2 linked regions of the Macaca fascicularis genome follow. The protein of the gene in region 1 purifies or fractionates together with the protein of each later gene. This does not show direct contact. Links are inferred from orthologs where the notes say so. Each region holds a gene or a part of one and is shown in the gene's direction. Other genes may lie near its edges.

Region 1 (4,268 bases):
TACAGTAAGATTAGCTGTTCATACTATTCATTTTTACACATAATGGATTGTGAAATGTTAATCCTTAGCTATATGCAGGTGACCAATATGTCTTGGGTTTTTAAAATCAGTAGCACATAATCAGAACTGGCTACATCATTAGCAAGGCTCAGAGCAAAATAAAAATGCAGTGCCCTGTTTTTATAATTGTTAAGGATTTTAGGAGATGACAGAAGAGAATAAAACCCTGGGCATGGGACCCTGTGCAGCTGCACAGACTGCATACCTACGGAGCCAGCCCTGCATTTGATAGCCGTCAGATATAAAGGCTGACTTCTATTTATATATGCAGCTTTCAGTCAATTGCATGAATGTGTAAATTGCCAAAGAGAAATGTGATGGTCAGGTCTTTACTGTGAGTAAAGGACCAGGAACAGGACCAAAGTTTGAAAGGACTAAAGAAAGTCCCTTCTGACATTACAGCTCTATGTCTCTTGGTTATCTTCAGCCCATTCTCCCTTCAGTTCCTAAAGAAAACCGTAGGATAGAATTATATCCTATAACTATAGGTCATATAGGTAACAGGAGGATATGACTTATGTGATATATGTTCTGCTTGTAAAAATAATGTCAGGTATTTATCAGGGACTGCAGGGTGGGCCTTCTTCCTCTCCTAGATGAAGAACTGAGGTTCAGAGAGCTAATTATGGACGAGGCAGCTGGGATCCAAGTTCTTCATCACTCTTGTCCGCTGCCTGTCTCATAGGATTCCAGTTGATCCTGCAAGACAAGAGTAGCTTACAAAGGGTTTGCATATACCTTAATCTCATATCTCATTCCCAGTAGCACCCTTGTGAAATTGGCAGTGTTATCCCCAATTTACACACAAGGAAACAGAACTTCAGAGAAGTTGTGTCATGTTGCAAGGTCTTAAGATAGCAAATGGCAGAGCTAAAACTAAAGTCTGCTTTTTAAGTCATGAGTTCAGCCATGTTTTCTCTGCTCCCTACTTTGGGGACCCAGCTACTTCCCCTACATATGCCATTCCTTTTCCATCTAACTCTATTGGTTTAATTCTTTTCCAGTAGACTTTGTTTAACAGATGTTGCATTTCCCAAAGGAAAAGTGAATCTCCTCTACACTCTAAATAGCTAAAAGAATTATTGATGAAAGGACTTCAATTCCCTATAGAATTTTAGTTCTAGAAGCATATCTGAATAATGTAGGGGTTTACTTGAGTGAAGTTAGAGGTAATTGAGGAAGTGGAGGAGGAAGCTGTCAAGAGTCAAAGTTCTTTCAAAGATGACTCCAACTTCTACAATTGACCTTGTTAGAAACAAGAAAATGAGGCCTAGCTATTGGGCCAGGACAGCTCAGGAATTACATGTTCCACTGGGAGAGGTTTCCTGTACCTGTGTGACTATGAAATGCTACAGCTTACTTTCATGCATATGGCTGGTGTGACTCAGTTACTTATTTTAATAAGAGAGTTGATTTCCTTTGTTTATAGGCTGACAGTGAAAAACAGAATGATAGTTCGACTTAAGAATGAGGGCTTGTTCTCAGTACAGAAACAGAAGTAGCCTAGATCAAGAAGTACAGACCACTGCTTTGTACAATGGTCTCCAAACTTTGGTCACTTCATCAGGAAATAGTATGAGCACTTCTCTCCATACATAGTTATTTGCAAAGTATGCATGCTTCTGCTATTGTACTCTAAAACGTGCTGTATAAAATATATACAAAAAGGTCCAAAAAATGAGAAAAAGTAAATAGAAATAGGAAGTCTAATATTCTTTTTGCCTCCCCAGTGAATTGTCTTGTTCACTTCACTTTAGAAAACACTGCTTTCTGTGTTTTTGTTTTTGGGTTTTTTTGAGACAGTCTTTCTCTGTCACCAAGGCTGGAGTGCAGTGGTGCAGTCTCGGCTCACTGCAGTCTCTGCCTACTCAGTTCAAGTGATTTTCCTGCCTCAGCCTCCTGAGTAGCTGGGATTACAAGTGTGCACCACCACGCCCAGCTAATTTTTGTATTTTTAGTAGAGATGGGGTTTTGCCGTGTTGGCCAGGCTGGTCTCACTCTCCTGACCTGAAGTAATCCACCTGCCTCAGCCTCTCAAACTGCTGGGATTACAGGAATGAGCCACCACACCCAGCCAGAAAACACTGCTTTCTAAAGAATATGCATCTAGCCAGAACTTTGTGTTTTGACATTTTCAATTAAAAATGAAATTATAATTATATACCTGACATTAACTTAATGATCATCATTTTCTTTCATACAGCCTTTATCAATTCTAAAAAACTATTTTCTTTCATCTAAGTCACAATCAGTTGGGAATTTATTAAAATGCAAATTAATGGGCCCCACCAGAGAGCTACAAAATAAGAAATTCCTGTGGGAGGAGCCCATACAGCCTGTGTTTTTAACTAGCCTGTGTTTTTAACCAGATGATTGTGATGTACGCTTAAGTTTTAGAACCCCCATCTGTGGCCTGTTGCTATGGTATGCACCTGTAGTCCTGGCTACTTAGGTGGCTGAGGTGGGAAGATAGCTTAAGCCAGGAGTTTGAGACCAACCTGGGCAACATAGTTAGACCCCACCTGGGTGATTAGGTCAATTGAATCTGACTTTTGTCGACAAATTCATCTAATATGTTTTTTTTTTAATGCACAAAATGTCAAAGTTGAGATTTAATGATGCCTTTTACAATTTCAGGATTTACTTCAGATGCAGTATGAAGGAGTAGCTGTAATGAAAATGTTTGATAAGGTTAAAGTGAATGTAAACCTTCTCATATACCTGCTGAACAAGAAATTCTATGGAAAGTGAAGTGCCTGCAGAAATGTCATGGATTCTGTATCATCTGGATTAGGAAATGAATTTGTTTAATATTTTTGTTTTTAAACATGATTGAAATCACTGCTTATAAATGTGTGATTTTTTTTTTTTAATGACCAAAACTGTTCTGAAGAATGTACCCAGGTGCCTTTTTGCTAATCTGATACTATAATAGAATGAGACATAAAATGAATTAATGGAAACATATCCACGCTGTACTGTGGTATAGGTACTCTGATTGAAAACTTTGGACATCGTGTGATCTGTTTTAAAGTTGCGGGGTGGGGAATTTAGCTGACTAGGGACAAACATGTAAACCTATTTTCCTATGAAAACATTTTAAATGTCCCACTTGAATAATGTAATTCTTTATAGTTTTTTTTAATCTATGGATAAATGGAAACCTAATTGTAATGAATTATTTAGACAGTTTTAAGCCCTGTCTTCTGGGAGTTATCAATTTTAAAGAGAACTTTTGTGCAATTCAAATGAACTTTTTATAGGTAATTGAAAATGACAACACAATAACACTTTCTGTATAAAAGTATATATTTTATGTGATTTATTCCTACTAAATGAAAGTGCACTACTGCCTCATGTAAAGACTCTTGCACGCAGAGCCTTTAAATGACTAAGGAACAACATAGATAGTGAGCATAGTCCCCGCCTCCACCCCTCACAATTTATTTGAATACTTCAATTGTGCCTCTCAACTTTTTGTAATGCTAAAAAATCAGTATCTAGATGGTTTTTAAACGTATTATCTGGAAATTGTTTTATGTAAAATAAATGTTACTTAATTCCATTAATTTGGCTTTTAAGTTGTCTTAAAGTCATTTAGTGGGTAGGGGAAGATTCTTGGTAGGATTTGTCAGGAAATAATGCATTTCTTGCTGTACTGGTTAAAGTATAGAGCAAGCTGCTGTGAGGAAAAGATGCAAAACCCTGGTGTCTAAAACAAGGAGTAGAAGTTCGTTTTTCTCAAATTCAGCTCAAAGGTGAGCAGATCCACAAGGTAAAGAGTTTCAGGCAGGTCAGTTGGCTCTGTCCTCGTACTGATTCCCCCCAGCCGGATGAGGGAGAGGATGGTGAAGAAGTCCAGGGCAAGCCTTTTCAGTTATATGCATCACTTTCACTTCCACTTACATCATATTGGCCAAAACTGAGTCACATGGACACAGCTAGCTAAAGATAGTCCCTAACTAGGCAGCCATGTAGCCAGTGAATAGAGAGAGCTAGGGAGGGAATTGGGTCTGTTATTAAACGGAAGAAAAGGAGTGTGATTCCTGCCAACACTTTAGGAGTCTCCACCACAATAGGATTCCAGACGCTCAGGCCGGAACCTCCCTGCCACTTTGTTCATGCCTGCAACAGTCTTTATTTTTTCACAAATTGCAAAATATTGAGAAGGTAGGTTAGTTTATGCACATGTGGCACAAATGAACTTG
Region 2 (4,478 bases), on another chromosome or scaffold:
CTCATGCCTCACCCTCCCGAGTAGCTGGGATTACAGGCATCCGCTGCCATGCACGGCTAATTTTTTTGTGTTTTTAGTAGAAACGGGGATTCACCACATTGGCCAGGCTGATCTCGAACTCCTGACCTCACGTGGATCCGCCCAGCTTTGCCTCAAAAAGTGCTGGGATTACAGGTGTGAGCCACCACGCCCGGCCGGCAACACATTTTTTTGACTGAATGGACATGGTTATTGCTGAATAAAGGTATGGTGTATGATTTTATTCTTCCTTATAGTTTTAGATTCTGAATTTCCTAAAAGGACCTAATGTCATTGCACATAGTTATTACATGAAGATAACGAAACGGGGGGTGGAAAGCAGTGCCCTCCGATGGCCCCGAGCAGGAGTTAGTGACAGGGAGCGTGGCTCCTGCAACCACAGTCCCTCTTTTTTTTTTTTAAGACGGACTCTCACTCTGTTTCCCAGGCTGGAGTGCAGTGGTACGATCTCGGCTCACTGCAACCTCTGCCTTCTGGGTTCAAGCGGTTCTCCTGTTTCAGCCTCCCAAGTAGTTGGGATTAAAGGTGCCTGCCACCACATCCGGTTAATTTTTGTATTTTTTATTTATTTATTTTTTGAGACGGAGTCTCGGTCGGTATCCCAGGCTGGAGTGTAGTGGCGCCATATCAGCTTGCTGCAACCTCCACCTCCTGGGTCCCGGTTCAAGCAATTCTCCTGCCTCAGCCTCCCGAGAAGCTGGGATTACAGGCACACGCCACCATGCCCAGCTACTTTTTTTATTTGTTATTTTTAGTAGAGATGGGGTTTCACCATGTTGGCCAGGCTGGTCTTGAACTCCTGACCTCGTGATCCACCTGTTTCAGTTTCCCAAAGTGCTGGGATTACAGGCGTGAGCCACCATTTTGTATTTTTTTTAGTAGAGATGGGGTTTCACCACGTTGATGAGACTGGTCTCGAACTCCTGAACTTGTGATCCACCCGCCTCGGCCTCCCAACCAAAGTGCTGAGATTACAGGCGAGAGGTGAGCCACGGCGCCCAGCCACCACAGGTTCCTTTTTTTTGAGACGGAGTCTGGCTCTGACTCCAGGCTAGAGTGTAGTGGCGCCCTCTCAGCTCACTGCAACCACCGCCTCCCAGGTTCAAGCAATTCTCCTGCCTCAGCTTCCTGAGTAGCTGGGACTACAGGTGCGCGCCTCCACGCCCGGCTAATTTTTGTATTTTTAGTACAGACGGGGTTTCACCATGTTGGCCAGGATGGTCTCAATCTCTTGACCTTGTGATCCTCCCTCCTCGGCCTCCCAAAGTGCTGGGATTACAGGCGTGAGCCACCGCGCCCGACTGACAGGTTCCTCTTAAAGCCTAAACCGTGAACCCCAGGGAAAGGACCTGCAGGTCCGGCCACGCCCAGGCCTCCTTAGCGCGCCAAGATGGCGGCCGCCGCGCCCCGCGGTCGGAGCCGAGCGGTCCCGAGCGCTTCCGAGCATTCCCGAAGTCCAGAGAAACTCCGGGAGCGGCGCGGGCGGGAGCGGCCCCGCCCGGAACCTGGGAGCGGCGACGCCGGCGCGGGGGAGGGGAGGCCGGATGTGAGTGGAGCGGCCATTTCCTGTTTCTCTGCAGTTTTCCTGAGCTTTGGGTGGTGGCCGCTGCCGGGCTTGAGCTTCCAGTCCGCGGAGGGCGAGGCGGCGTGGACAGCGGCCCCGGCACCCAGCGCCCCGCCGCCCTCAAGCCGCGCGCTCGTCCGCCGCGCCCCGAGCCCGCCGCTTCCTATCTCAGCGCCCTGCCGCCGCCGCCGCGGCCCAGCGAGCGGCCCAGATGCAGGCCATCAAGTGTGTGGTGGTGGGAGACGGGTGAGTGCGCGGCCGGGGCCGGACTGGGGACGGCGGGGTCGGGCGCGGGCGGGGGTCTGGCCCGGACTGAGACCCAGGCAGGCAGGCCGCTCGCTGCGGGCTCGCGTAGGCGGTGGGCCTGGGCCTGTATCGCGGGGCGGGGGCCGCGGGCTGGCGCCCCCACTGGACCCTGACTTCCCGGGCGGCGCGTGCCAGGTTCCGGCTCTGGATGGAGGAGGGCCTTGCCGCTCGCCGGCCGGAGGGAAAAGTGAACTCCACCCTCCGGCTTTCTTCCCGGACGCCGCCCGCCGCCCTCCTCGGGAGCGCTCGTAGAGGAAGCGCTCTTGGAGATTTTGACCATTTTTCCAAAAAGGGACTCTTTCTTGTTTTTTGCATGAACCTCTCAATTCGCCTTGAGAGCTGTGTTGGGAACGCGGCGGTCAAGTCGATATTTGATGCATGCTTGATTGTGCGGGCCTCTTTGGTGCCCCCAAACTTTTCTTTAGAAAAACATATTTTTTTTCATAGACCGGTTCTCGCTGTGTTGCACAGGCCGGTCTCGAACTCCTGGGTTCAGGCGATCCTCCCATCCCAGCCTCCCAGAAATGCTGGGATTACAGGCGTGTGCCACCACGCCTGGCTAATCTTTAAAACTTTTTGTAGAAATGGGGGTTGGGGGTCTCGCTGTGTTGTCCAGGCTGGTCTCGAATTGCTGCGCTCAAGTGATCCTCCTGCCTCTCAGCCTCCAAAAGTGCTGGGGTGACACCGCGCCCGGCTTCTAAACTTATTTTCGAGCAGGATTTTTCAACTTACACTTCTGCCACTGTTAGGATTCTTAAAATTGTTGTTTTCGCGTATTCCGTGGAGAAAGTTTTTAAGATGCTGGCTGGGAGGAGCCGGCTGTAAGGGGCACTGTTTTTTCTTTTCTTTCTTTCTTTCTTTTTTTTTTTTTTTTTTTTTTAACGTGGTGTGGTCATTGATAAACTGTTCTTTGCTTAACGCGTTAGGTATGGGATGTAGCAGAACTGGCCCCCTGTGACTCCAGGCATTGCTTTTCATGACTGTCTGTGGTGGTTACAGGCCCTGGAGGAAGACAAGACTTGTCTTATGCAGTTTTTTTCTCCCATAGAAACAAGAATCTCAGTGTAACCCAAGCAAAATCGCGCGTCTCAGCGTTGCTTGTATAGGTTAGTGTTAGCAAGGAAGAATTACTACCAGTTTAATAAAACTCAGTGCAACTGGTACATGTTCCAGTAAAGTCCAAGGCAAGCTCTGGCATCACGGTTAACTGGTTGATATTCTTCAAACTTGTCATTAGGACAGATTTTGGTTCTTGCAATTCAGATGCAAGAAGGATAATTAGACAACTGATTTTTGTAAGATGCCCATCTGTCATATTTGTCTTGGAAATGTGAAATAATATTAATGCCTCATAATTCTGTTTATATAATAACTAAAAATTCTAACTTTCACTTATTTAAGAGTATGTAGGCTATCCAAGGGTTTTTTTTTTTTTTTTTTTTTTTGAGACGGAATCTCATTCTATTGCCCAGGCTGGAGTGCAGTGGCACAATTGCGGCTCACTGCAACCTCCGCCTCCCAGGTTCAAGCGATCCTCCTGCCTCAGCCTCCCTAGTAGTTGGGATTATAGGCATGCGCCACCGTGCCAGGCTAATTTTTGTATTTTTTAGTAGAAACGGGGTTTCACCATGTTGGCCAGGCTGGTCTCGAACTCCTGACCTCAGGTGATCCACCCGCCTGGGCCTCCCAGAGTGTTGGGATTACAGGTGTGAGCCACCGCGCCCAGCCCAATTTTTTTTTTCTTTCTTTCTTTTTTTTTTTTTTTTGAGACAGGGTCTCACTCTGTTGCCCAGCCTGGAGTGCAATGGCGCTCTCTCTGTTCCTGCAACCTCTGCCTCCCGGGTTCAAGCAATTCTCATGCCTCAGCCTCCCAAGTACCTGGGATTACAGGCACACATCACCACACCCAGCTAATTTTATTTATTTATTTTTTATTTTTTTGGTAGAGATAGAGTTTCGCCATGTTGGCCAGGATGGTCTCAAACTCCTGACCTCAAGTGATCCCCCCGCCTCGGCCTGTTTTTTTTTTTTATAAGTCATATTGCTGATAATTATTTGAAAAATGCTGAAACTAAAACATAAGCATAGCAGATACGTTTATTTAATACTAACCGATTAAGGACCTCTGCCGTTTGAATTGGCTGTTTTATCTAGTCAGATAACTTGTCGAATGCCTATCCTGGAATCTGGACCCTCCCTTCAAATACCCACTCCACCGCTTACATGGGGTAACCCTAAGCACATCCCCCACCTCCCAGGAGAGGTGGTTCAGTGGGAGGTCAACAAGAGTAAACAAGATGTTGGTTAACTACTTTGCAGGTGCCCCTTGCTGAGTGCTTAGTAAGTGCCTGGTACTGTTACTGCGGTTTCTACTACAGAGGCTCTGTGAGGGAGTATTAGGTTTAAAAACCTGTGGCCTTGAGTTTTCAGTCTGTGTTTTTTTTTTTAATTAGTTATGAGCATTTGATCAAGCACAGTTTTGTTTTGTTTTTTTTGAGACAGAGTCTCGCTCTGTCGCCAGTTCTGGAGTGCAGTGGCGCAATCTTGGCTCACTGCAAGCTCCGCCTCC

The links.
Region 2: the proteins of IQGAP2 (region 1) and RAC1 purify together in Homo sapiens (affinity purification with mass spectrometry; 5 studies listed by BioGRID and IntAct, with this or other methods). This does not show direct contact. The link is inferred for Macaca fascicularis from reciprocal best matches to the Homo sapiens genes IQGAP2 and RAC1.

The regions. Positions count from the first base shown.
Region 1 is NC_088380.1:80,676,032-80,680,299, forward strand, and holds the end of IQGAP2 (ras GTPase-activating-like protein IQGAP2), read left to right. Parts: intron 1-2,697; coding exon 2,698-2,811; 3' UTR 2,812-3,629; downstream 3,630-4,268. UniProt on the Homo sapiens protein: Binds to activated CDC42 and RAC1 but does not seem to stimulate their GTPase activity. Associates with calmodulin.
Region 2 is NC_088377.1:45,992,277-45,996,754, reverse strand, and holds the start of RAC1 (ras-related C3 botulinum toxin substrate 1), read left to right. Parts: upstream 1-1,607; 5' UTR 1,608-1,814; coding exon 1,815-1,849; intron 1,850-4,478. UniProt on the Homo sapiens protein: Plasma membrane-associated small GTPase which cycles between active GTP-bound and inactive GDP-bound states.